Caenorhabditis elegans: one gene and its partner. The protein of the gene in region 1 purifies or fractionates together with the protein of each later gene. This does not show direct contact. Each region holds a gene or a part of one and is shown on either strand. Other genes may lie near its edges. The genes, in order: sor-1 and srsx-14.

What was found.
Region 2: the proteins of sor-1 (region 1) and srsx-14 fractionate together in Caenorhabditis elegans (co-fractionation; one large-scale study listed by BioGRID). This does not show direct contact.

Annotation. Positions count from the first base shown.
Region 1 is NC_003281.10:8,416,624-8,423,447, forward strand, and holds sor-1 (Sop-2-related protein 1), read left to right. Parts: upstream 1-1,544; coding exon 1,545-1,550; intron 1,551-2,581; coding exon 2,582-2,742; intron 2,743-2,955; coding exon 2,956-4,234; intron 4,235-4,289; coding exon 4,290-4,706; intron 4,707-5,169; coding exon 5,170-5,697; intron 5,698-5,750; coding exon 5,751-5,801; 3' UTR 5,802-6,031; downstream 6,032-6,824. UniProt on the Caenorhabditis elegans protein: Acts synergistically with sop-2 to maintain the transcriptionally repressive state of homeotic genes throughout development. Not required to initiate repression, but to maintain it during later stages of development.
Region 2 is NC_003282.8:5,624,330-5,629,367, reverse strand, and holds srsx-14 (G-protein coupled receptors family 1 profile domain-containing protein), read left to right. Parts: upstream 1-2,211; coding exon 2,212-2,350; intron 2,351-2,377; exon of another isoform or gene 2,378-2,398; intron 2,399-2,792; coding exon 2,793-2,873; intron 2,874-2,927; coding exon 2,928-3,181; intron 3,182-3,245; exon of another isoform or gene 3,246-3,269; intron 3,270-3,416; exon of another isoform or gene 3,417-3,437; intron 3,438-3,733; coding exon 3,734-4,027; intron 4,028-4,074; exon of another isoform or gene 4,075-4,095; intron 4,096-4,288; coding exon 4,289-4,513; downstream 4,514-5,038. Other genes in the region: srd-12 (G_PROTEIN_RECEP_F1_2 domain-containing protein), read left to right, coding at 1-55, 301-576.

The DNA of each region.
Region 1 (6,824 bases):
AAATTGACAATACCAATTTGAAATTTTATTTTATTATGAAAAATATATTCAGAGAGCCTGAAAGAAGCGAACCTTTTTCTCATATTATTTTTCAGAATATAAGGGCAATATATTTGTTTGACCAATGCCAAAACTTTAACCAGTATCAGGAAAGTAGCCGAAAGTTTTCAGCTGGTCAAGTTAGGTAACTTCCGGTTGTTGTCCATTCCTACTATATTTAGTTGTTCCATAAATTGTATTTTCTAAGATTTACTAATTGCTAGATCTTAAGACTTTGCCTCCATTTTGGAGCTGCTCTTTAATCAAAATCAAAAATTTCCAGCTCATTAACTCCATGGTACTCCAATTTCAGTAATTATTCTACAGTAATCCTCCGGATGAAGGACACGTCTCTTCCGCCACTTGAAAACCCATCAAACGGGGGAACATATCTCTTTAACCTAATTACCGTATTCCCCTCCATTGCGCTTTCATTCAATTATTCGTGGCGGGGGGACACTGGGCCGTCCATCTCGATTTTCTCTTTCTCTCTCTCTGTTCTTTTTTTTTCTCTTTTCCCTCAACATAAAAATATATGCGCGCGCGCCTGGTGCCGTCCTTTCCGCCGCTCTCTTTCTTTTTCTCTTCGTTTCGTAAGCATCTATTTACACATATACACACTCACTCACACACACACATAAACCGAAACGAGAGAAAGATGAAAATAGTGTTGTGCTAGAGAGATAAAATGGGCGGAGTCAACGAATACGGTATCTCGCACCCTCTGCTTAATTGTTTACGTCCCGCCGTCGCTGACAGCTTTTAGAGGATCCTTCAGTATACACACACACACACACACACACACTCACACACTCACACACGAGCATATAATTCTATGATTGATCGATTTGGCGGCAAGTTCCACAGCGGGCTCCGAGAGCACCACAGGGTCCGATGAGAAGACTGCTCTCTTCATTTCACCCACTGTCTAACTTCCAGTGTTGTCTCTTGAATGTGTCATTCAAGAAAGCGCACACACCCTCGTTCACTCTTTTTCTCTGCATCTCTTGTCCTCATCTCTCTTTGTCGATAGTCGTTAAATGCGATGGAAGGCAGGCGAAAAGGATTACTGTATCTCTGACACTACCCACCCCGCCCTTTCGTGAAAGGCTCAACAACAAGGAGGCGTGTCGATGGCCTCCGATTGGTCGATGCAGAATTAGTTGTGTATCTGCCTCATTTCTCTAGACCCTCTTGTTTCCAAGGAATATTTCTCTGTGACTGCCTTTCTGCAGATTCTCTTGCCCCTTGTGTTTCGTTCTGTAGCCAGTCCTCTTCTCCTTTCTCCCCTTCCTTCGTCTGTCCATTTTCCAAACTTTGTTCTCTCCTGTCCATATAGTTTTTCAGTTGTTAAGATGAAAAAGTATAGTTGCATGATATCTAATCAATGTATGACCCCATCATGACTTGTACTTTTACTGTAACAATTGAATTATTGATTTTTCTGAAGGCGGCGGTGGCGGCGGCGGCCAGTTAGGAAACATGCTAAATTTCTATTTTGATTGATGTTGGTAAGTTTCGGATAAATGTTTAATTCTCTTTTCACAATTTCTCATGCATCTTCATACTTTCCTTTGTGCTTCACCTTCTGAAAAGCTGTGACCCGCATGTGCCCATCTTTATAATTATAAATTTTCGTTTTTTTTTCATTAAGTTCTCTTTTTCTAATAAACAAAACATCAGTCACTACTGACGCCAGAGCTGACATCATAAAAAACATAGAGTGATTTGTGTATTTTTTGATATATCCTTTTTCCAAAACTCAAATAATTTAATATCTAGATTTTTTTAAATTTGATTTTATATGTTTTTTTTTGAATTTTGGAAGATATTCTCGTAAAATTCGTCAATTTTGCAAATTTCAGTTTTTTTTAACTTTCAAAACGCTTATTCCTGAAAAATTTGTAATTCTTTCTCATAAGTGTTAAGTGTTTATTGTTCCGAAGTAGCATCTATGTTTAGAGTTTTCCCTCTTCTTCTGATCTACAGTATGGAAAAAAAATTGGCGAAATTTCTGGAGATCAAATGAAGAGGGCGCTCACAGACTACCCGTGAAATTTAGCTGATAACTTTTAGCTGAACATTTCAAAGAGCATATGTTTGACCTCCAAATATTGCGCTTTTAAATTTGGAAGATGTTCTCCTTAATCGTTTCTAAAAGGTTTCTGAGCTTTTAAGAAAATGATGTTATCTCTATCTTGATCAAAATCTTACTGAAAAGAGCAACAATATTAGTGTTTGCATACTGATTACGGTGTACACTTCTCTCAGCGGCGCCCTTTGAATTCTTTTTTGTCTCTCGTTCATAACTACGACTTGTTCTCACCGTTCCGACTTGAAACCCCATAAACCGCGAGAAAAGAATCCAATAAATAAGTGATGAAGAGGGATTTCTTTCTCTTTTTCTCTGCTCCCTTACACTGTCTAATCCGTCCCCCCTCCATCCTTAAATCTCCCAAATGGATTCGTTTTCTTTTTCACCGTTCTGATGTAATCCTTCGTATAATCTTTCTCTCGCTCACTTCAACAGAAGAATTTTCAGATAATGTCGAGTGAACCTGCGTCTTCGTCTACAGAAAAAGTCCCGGAGGAGCCACATCCACACTCTATCAAGCACAAATTTCAAGGGCCACAATTTGTGATCCCCCGAGCATTGAGCGATTACGTGTTGAATGTGAACAATCAGACTCCTGAATCTTATGAGTAAGCTTTACAATTTTACTTTTTTTTGTAGCCTAAGAAATTGTAGTTTTCTATTATTATTGGTCTGCCAAAATATATGTGCAAATAAAAAAAAACGATTTTAGAGTTAGTTGAACCTTTAAATATAAGTTTATTGAGATAGAACATAAAAAATTGCAGAAACATACATGAAGATAAGATTTAGAAAAATAACTTTAATTTCCCAATTTCCAGAAAAGCACTGAACGCCAAATATGGAAGAGATGACTACATCACCTTATGCCTCCACGTCACAAGTCTTTGCACAGAATATGGCCCACTTGATGACGGGCCTGAATATGTACTTCTTTGTGATTCACGAGCTCGTGTTGACAAGCTGATCGAGGATCTCGTCAAGTTGTTAGAGATCGACACAGACTACGTACAACTAGAGTTGCATGGTGGAAAGCGCCTTCATCTTCAGAAACCCGATGCAGTTCTCCGTGATATTGCATATAAACAGAGCAACGAGGGATCTGACAAGTTCTTTTTGGAGATGAAGCTTGTGCCTTCGGAGTCAATGAAAGCGAAAATTATGAAGCAAGAGGAAGAAGAAGAGAAAGCAAGAAAACATGGGCAATATCAACAATATCAAGAGTATCACCAACAACATCAAGCAATGAATGATGGACAAAGTAGCTCGAGTGTACCTTCAACTAGCTCTCCGTCATGCTCCAGTGAGGCAAATCGGAAGGAAATGGAAACAGTGCGTGAACCAGCTGGACCGTCAGAATTGATGAGGGCTATAAATGCTCCAGTTGCTCCTGCCCCGGTTGTAATCAAGATTGAAACTCCTGTTGCATTGCCAGAAGAAGATGAAACACTGATGGATGATGATGAAATGCCTTCGCTAACTGTAGAAGCACCAAGTGAAGAAGCTTCATTTGAAGCTGAACAACCTTCTCCACAAGTCCCACAAGCCTCAATTGAGGGACCATCTCAACAGCAACAAATTCCTGGAACTTCTCAACAGAAAAGACAAGTTGCTCGTGGATCTCGTACTAATATGATTTCCTATCATGATTTACCACCTGGCACTGGAAATGCTCCTCCGATGGCTTGTCCTCAAGTTACACTCAAACTTGAAAAAAATGTTCCATTTGAAGCGAAAATCCGTGCAGTTGCTGGGTACACTCGAAAACCAATTTCTGAAGTTCAAAAAATGAGACCGAGTGATCTGGAGAGCATCTTCCATTCGATCTGCATTGCCAGCGTTCAAAGAATAAAGAGAAGAAATGAACTTGTTCAACAGCTACAGGAAATCAATGCCCAATCTTGTAAAAGTCCGACAATGACTATGAACAAGAAGTTCACATTGGCAAAGGCGTATCAAAGGGTCCAGAATGAAATTGAAAAAATTGATCGAGAGCAAATACTTCCTCAACAGTACATGAACATGCCACCAATGCCACCACAAGGACAGCAAAGATTGCCTCCACCAGCATATCCACCTGGTATTCTGCCACCACAACAGGTAGGTTTTCAGAAACCTGGAAAATTAGTTCAATTTTTTATACTTTAATTTCCAGAATCGTCAACAAGGCGTACCTCCACAATTCCAACGTTCACCGCAATTTATGATTGGACCAGATGGACAGCGTTATGCACATCCATATATGCAACTTCCAAATTCAAACCAAAGAGCTCGAATTCTGAATACTTCATCTGTGCAGCCGTCTGAAGAAGTACGCAATCGCCTCGTGAAGATTGAAGCAATGGCGATGAATATGGCACAACTGAACCCACCTCGACCACCTCCTCCACAGCCACCACATCGAGCTCTCCAAGGAGAACTGCAGTTTTTGAGACCTGGAGCACCGGATCCGTGCAACTTTAGGCCAGATTCTAAGCAGACATATAACAATACATATGTGACTGTTGCATCACCAGCGACGCTCACCAATTCAATCATTCCATGGCACTTCCCGCCATATGAAAAATCAGGAGTAAGTTATACTCTTAAATTTAATAAATCTTCAATAATAGGCAAGCACGGTTTCAAATCTTTGTGCCTGCCTACCGCCTATGTAGATTGTTAAAATTGATGTTTCTGGCAGGAAATCTTACCCTTGAGAATTGCTTTTGACATCAAACTCATTATTTTGGTTGATTTTTTAAAGAGATAGTTAAACATCTATTAAGGTGAAGTTGTAGTAGTTTGAACACGTATCAAAGTCTTGAATTCCTCAAAAGCCCTTAAGTTTTTCAAAAATTCTCACTTTATCAAAACTTTGACAGAGTATTTTTGGTCAAGCTGAATAGTTTGACATGCATTCAATCAAAATTCATTCATTCAACAAACTTACTACTTCACCTTCAATGAATTCTCAGTAAATGCAGGGTTTCGTATAAGTGCCAGTTTTGTTCAAAATCATTGATAAAGTTTCAAAATTAAATTAAAGTTTTCAGAGATTGAATGTGAGCAACACAATAAAAGCTATCAACGAGTATCGTCTTCTGTGCAATTCTCGACAGGCTGATCCAGCAAGTTTCCTCGAATTCTACTTCCTTGGTGATCCAATGCCACACTTCAATAAAATTCTTTCAATTGCTGATTACAATATGTATTTGTCTCGAAGACGATGCGATGAGGCAGATGTCAAGATTCATCGAATGTCGCACAGTGATCAATTGCAATTGTACCTTTTGGAACTTCAATCCGACGAGTCAAATGTGGAAAAATGGAAGACATTCTATAGAATTATGCAGTGGGATTTGCCACTAAACAATGAGTTTCCAAGAATACTTCTACCATCTTCATTAGACATCGGAAGACCAGTTGTTGATAGAAAGAAGAAATCAATTGATCAGGTTATGAATCATATACATCGAATGCATAGTCAACGCCCACCAAGCATGGGAAACTCTTCCACATCTTCTGAAGCTTCATCTACCAGTCCAACAAATGCTGCAACAGCGACCAGTTCTCCAGCATCGGTATGTTAATTTTCTAGGAATTTTGGAATTATTTTAAATTCAACTTTTTACAGAACCGACCAACGACTTCTACAGCACAACCACCAACTTTAAATCCAACATAAATTTTAATTCAATATAAATTTGTAAATAATTATGTTTGTTACCAAACCATATTTTGTGTACCTCTTCCGTTTTTTTCCTCTGTCGGGTTTTTGCTTTTGTCTTATTTTTTACGCTTCTAGTAGTAGTGATCTTAAAACTTTGCTCTCATTTACCTATTTTTAGATGAGTTAGTTTCTTTTTTTGTCTGTTTTACACAATCATCACACAATAAACATTTTATTTGGAGAATCGTTATGCGAAGCGTCTGAAAACAAGAACAGTATTTAAGAAAGCAAGTAGCAATGAAGCAATTTTATAATTGGACCAGCACCAATATACTTTCAACCGGATGGTTGTGAAAATTTAAATTTTGAACTACCGCGCCAATCAGAATGTTTCCACCAATAACCAACTAAGCACGCAAAAAAGTTTCTTTTTTCAATTTGTCGATTTTTTGGTTACTACGAATTGATCGATATAATACAATAATTCCAAAAATATTGGCAGATCACATAAAATCCGCAGATTCATAAAATCTGTGTACTTCCTTTTGTAGATAGCACACGTTGATTTGTCAATCCAGATAATTTATAACTAAGCTTACAGAAGTTAGCAGTAGTATTTCATTTATTCCCAGATCCCTAATTCTGATAGTCAGCAAAAATTGGTAAACTTTTTTTTGGCAAAACTTAAATTCTTATACAATCTTGCAGAACAAACTTTTCATTAGAATTTTCAGGTAACGTCGATCAACTTGAACATTTTGCTATTGTGGTTAACCAATAGGATCTGCATAGGAAGATATTGCTTGTTGAGAAATTACTTGCACAAACTGTTCAACTAGCTAAAGTTTGTGGAACAATTGATAAATTTTATGGATATGACGTTTTAACGGATTGCCAAACTAATCGATATGTGATACATTTGAATAAACTTAAACTCTAAAATTCTAAAGTTTTAAGCTACACCGATATTACTATAGTGCGAGGACGTGCTAATAGTAAGTTGTGGTAAATATTTTAAGAATTCTTTTGATGTGGCAG
Region 2 (5,038 bases), on another chromosome or scaffold:
TCAGGGAGTCAACATCACAAGTGACACCAAAAATTTGCACTCTCAACTTTTGATGGTGAGTTTGAAACTGAGGCAAGAACTTCCTTGATAGGCAGGCACAACTTTGTTCCTACCTATCACCTACCTTCTGCACTGTTATGAAAACTCCGGTATTTGGTTTCACTTGCTATATCAATATGAAAGTTCAAATAAAAGTCGTGAACGAATGAAGTAAAACAAATCAAGAATTTATATGGAAATAGTGAAACAGAAAAAAAAATTTCAAGTTTTTTTCCCCAAAAAATTAAATCAAGCTTTCAGGCTTTAACCTATCAAGCAGCAATTCCTGGATTCTACTTGTTCAGTATTTACTCATATGCCATTGGACAATTTGGAATCTACAATCATCCAGCTCTTGAATATTTCACATTTTCCTCATTTCTTCTGATTCCATTTTTATCGCCTCTTGCCTCTTTCATTTTCGTAACTCCCTATCGACAATTTATCAAGCTAAAGCTGTTTAGAATTGTTCAAATTGAACCGACGGAAACATCGAATACTCCTCAAAACTATACAAGTATTCATATTATTGGATAATGAGTTTTACTCAAACATTTTAATAAGTCTAATAAATTTATATTTCTAGTTTGTAACAAAACAAGCAATTTACAGATATATAAAACCTACCATTCCTGACTAAAAAACAATGCTTTCAACGGAAGTTTCGAGGAAGTGGGTCACAAATAAATTGGCTCCTGATGGGCGTAAAATTCACAACATTTTTTTTAAATACTGTTTCACTTGTAGCATTTAATTTCTCTAATGCGCAATGATTCAATAAACCTAGTGAAAGGAGGGGAGGAGCACTATGAAACTATGAAGTTATGAACTTCGGTTATAATTATAGAGCTATGCTGCAGATTATTTGTTCCGGAATTTGCGTCTTGGAGAACACAGTTGTTTTTTTTTCAATTTTTTTGCATAGAGATTTTCCCAAATTAATTAATTTTTCTTTCTTTTTTCCGTATCAATATTTTTTAAGATTTCCTCTTCAAATGTAGTGACGTAAGTTCTTTCAATAAAATATCAAAAACCTTCTTAAAAATAGTTCGATCATCTTTAAAAAAACGTGCTTATTTCCAGCATTTCGTGATTTTATTTATTTTTGCCTATTTTGCAAGAAATTGGATAAAGTACAAAGATTAAAATCACAAAATGAATCACGCGTTGATTATATTCATGAATATATATTTTACTCAATTTTCGGCTGTCTGCATAGAGTTCAGTGTATGATTCCAAAATTTGTACGCTCGGAATTATATTTAGATTTGAATTATCTTTTTTTCTATTAATTTCAAAGTAAAGTTAATTTTTTTAAATTTTTTAAATAGTGTGCCTCTAACAGTTGCCGCAATTTCGGAACATTTAAATTTCTGAATACAAGTGTTTTTTTTTTCAAAAATCGTCTTTGATTTCAATAGGCCTTTAACAAAAAAATACACAATAATAACTGAATAAGGGGAGAACTCAACAGGATCAATAGAAATTTTTGCGAAAACATTAGTGAATCTCTTTTCAAGTTAATTGAAATAAATTTAGTGATTTTCTGTTTTTACTATTCTACTTTATGATTTCCTTGAAACCGCAATAATTAAAAAAAATTCCCAGTTAAACTTTTTTTCAAAGTTGAACTGATATGAAATCAATCATGAAAAACTTTCCAGTAAAAGCAATTCAAACAAATTTTAAATTAACAACGCCCACCCAACAAGTTTTCGATTTTTTCTAAAATAGCTGCTGAACGTTTATCAGACTTTTTCGGTGTTCTAAGTTTTCTACTAAGTTTTTTGAAATCTTTATGATGAAAGTATTTGTCTTCTAGTTCATTTGAATTTATTTTTATGAGAGAGAGTAAAAAAGGAAGATTAAAATAGATTTTTCTTTTTCGCTTTGAAAAACATTTGAAACCGTAAAAAAAATTGAAATATATTTTTTTGTTATGCCATACTTTTTCAGAAAAGAAAATTGCAAGAATTTTATGACAGTGTAAATTTAATTTTGTAAATATAATAATTTAATATGAAACCTGACAACTTTCAGAACTTCCTGCTCTCTCGGATTTCACTTATTTTGGATGGAATCACATTTCCAATCAACCTTATTTAATTTGTCTCGCTTTTTTTGAAATGCTCATTTTCAATTAATGAAACATAATTTTTTTTTAGAAAAAATATGATATCAGAGGACACTTATCGAATTCATCGTATTATTATTTATTGTTTTGTTTTATTTTTGGAAGTGTTTGGACTATTTGGGAATATTAATTTGGTAGTTTTAACAATTAGAAAAAAGTCGTTAAGGACTAAATATGGTGAGTTTTCAGAGTTTCTAGATCTTTAAACAAGATAGGAAGAAATTATTAAAACGGTTTCATGTGCTAGCTGATAAAACATTTTTGAAACAGTAAAATATTTTGAAGTTGCATTTTAATTTTTTGAAGAAAAAAAATTTGATGGATAAATGTAACTTTTTTATTTTTTTCAGGAAATAATTTCTGCAAACTATAAAAAATCAATCCAAAATGAAATTGAAAATAAAGTTGTGACGAGACGATTCGAAATATAAATATTAAAAAGATTAAAAAGGATTAAAGGACGATCCGTTCTTCAAGCGCTATGCACTGCGTAATTCAACGAATAAAACTTATGTTTGGCAAAACAAACTTTGGTATCAAAAAGTTCAAATGTTTCATTATTTTTTTTTTAAATACATTCACAAGAGTTTATATTTCATTTAATTTAAGCCCTTACCAGGTTGCATTTTGGGAATTCTTGCCACATTGCACACACTTTGTCTTCTATATGAACTTGTGGATATGAGTTTCAGCGTAGCTGGTAAGATTGTATTTTTATAGTTTCTAAATAATTGAAAATTAATTCCTGCTTCAGCTTCGTATTATTATTACAAAATTGACCGTCAAACATGCTTCCTTGTAATTTTTCCATACATTTTTCTTTATTCAATGCAAACTGGTACAATATGGGTTTTATCAGTAGATTTATTGATAACAATTTTATATCCTATTAAAAGTCGGAACTTTCACGTTCCCGTGTACTTTGTGATCTTATTTTTGTTACCAGTTGCATATGGAGCTATTTTTGTAGGATTTGGATTTATGTATCTCGTTGAGGAAGCTTTGCCGGTAAGTTTTTTTTTCCTATCATGTTTCAACAAGTTTTTAACTCTGTCTAAAATAATAAAAACAATATTGATACTCGTCGAATCGCATACATTATGATTACCCATTTTTGAATGACAAAACTTGCAAAAAATTAATTGAAGAATAATTTAAACTTGAAATTCGGTAACTTTAAAACAATTTTTAACGAAATGTTTCACTATGCTTTCAAAATAAACTTGTTACTATAAAAACACAATTGTTCGAGCAAACACTTTTCACTCAATTTTCTTCACTGTGATCCGTTTTTTAAAGATCCAAGTAATCCAGATCCTTCGGAAAAGTACCGTTTTAGAACAGGTTTATGTATAAAATATTTTTGCCAACTGGCATGCCAATTAAACAATTGCCACGACTTAAGCAACACAATCATGATCGTTCAAATAGCGTAAGAAAAATATCAAGTCAGTTCCAATGAGCTTTTCAATCGTTGACTTTACTATTTTTATAGAGTTTCAAAAATGAAATTTGTTCATAATTTCATATACTTATAGATTAAAAATTGTTCCATTTCAGATGTGCAATCCACCATCGGCTCTTCATCCAATTGTCAGATCCTATTGGTATTATGTTATGACGGCTTTCTCCGTATTAACTGTAATTTTCTATGTTTCTGCGTTTGCTCTTATCTATTTCAAGGGCCGCCGTGAGAATACAGATCTTCGATTTATTGAGAGAAAAGCCCTGAACACACTGAAATATTTGATACTTTTATTTCTAATGTTTCGATTTATCACTATTACGATTACAAGTATTATGATTGCAATTAGGATTGATCAGGAAGTTGTCGAAATGGTACAAAACTATAATGTTAGTTTTTGAATATTCATTGAATATTTGCTTATTTCTTGTCGAGTTTTCTTGCGATTATAACTGGATTACACTGTTTAATTTGATTCAACATTTCAAAACATATTGCAACAGGCTATGTTTCAAAAAACAATTTCAAAAAAAAATCACAGACTTTAAAAGTGTTAGAAATTATATTTAGTTTCCCTGAGGACCTTAAATTTAACATTATTTTTGAACATACTTCCACACAGACAAGATGCAAAATATATTATTTTTCAGGTTCTCGCGGTGGTCGTTGCTTATTCACAGAATGCTTATATTTGCTACTACAGAAGTTCGGAGTATCGAAGACTGCTCAGCGAGCAAATTTCAAAGATTCATCCAAAATTGGGAGCACTTTTACCAAAATTATCAAATGAGTCAAGTAGTATTGTAGGACAACGTTGGCGAAACTCTACTGTATCAATTGGTCAGACAAAAAAGATTAAAGACAACAGACACTAAAGAAGATATATCACAAATCCATTTTAAATTTATTTCTTGAATTTTTCTTTGAATTGACATTTTTATTTGAATTGAAATTCAAATTTCAATACGACTTCAAATTCTGATACATTTTTCAGAGAATTGGAAAATTTCAATTACTGTTTCATGACATGGTTTTACTGAACTGTACTGTGAGGTTAATACATGCATGATCGAAGTACATAAATAGTGCGGAACAATAATCTCGGGTTTTTTTTGATTATTTGTTATTTGATTACTCGGGAAAAAATTTCAATTAAAAAAACATACATTTCTCTATTTTTGAATGAGTTGCTATCTGTTCTTCTGGTAAAATTCAACGTTTTTCTGATAAATAAATAGGGGGGGGGGGGGGGGGTTTCGAGTATTTTTTATGAAGAATTTTCCGATTTTCTAAGAAAACCTATCTTTTTTCCTGACTTTTGTATAAAATTAACCAAAAATTAAACGTTTGAAGAAATTGAAGAAATTACTGCTGTCAATACTCCGTTGATTGGCTTTATC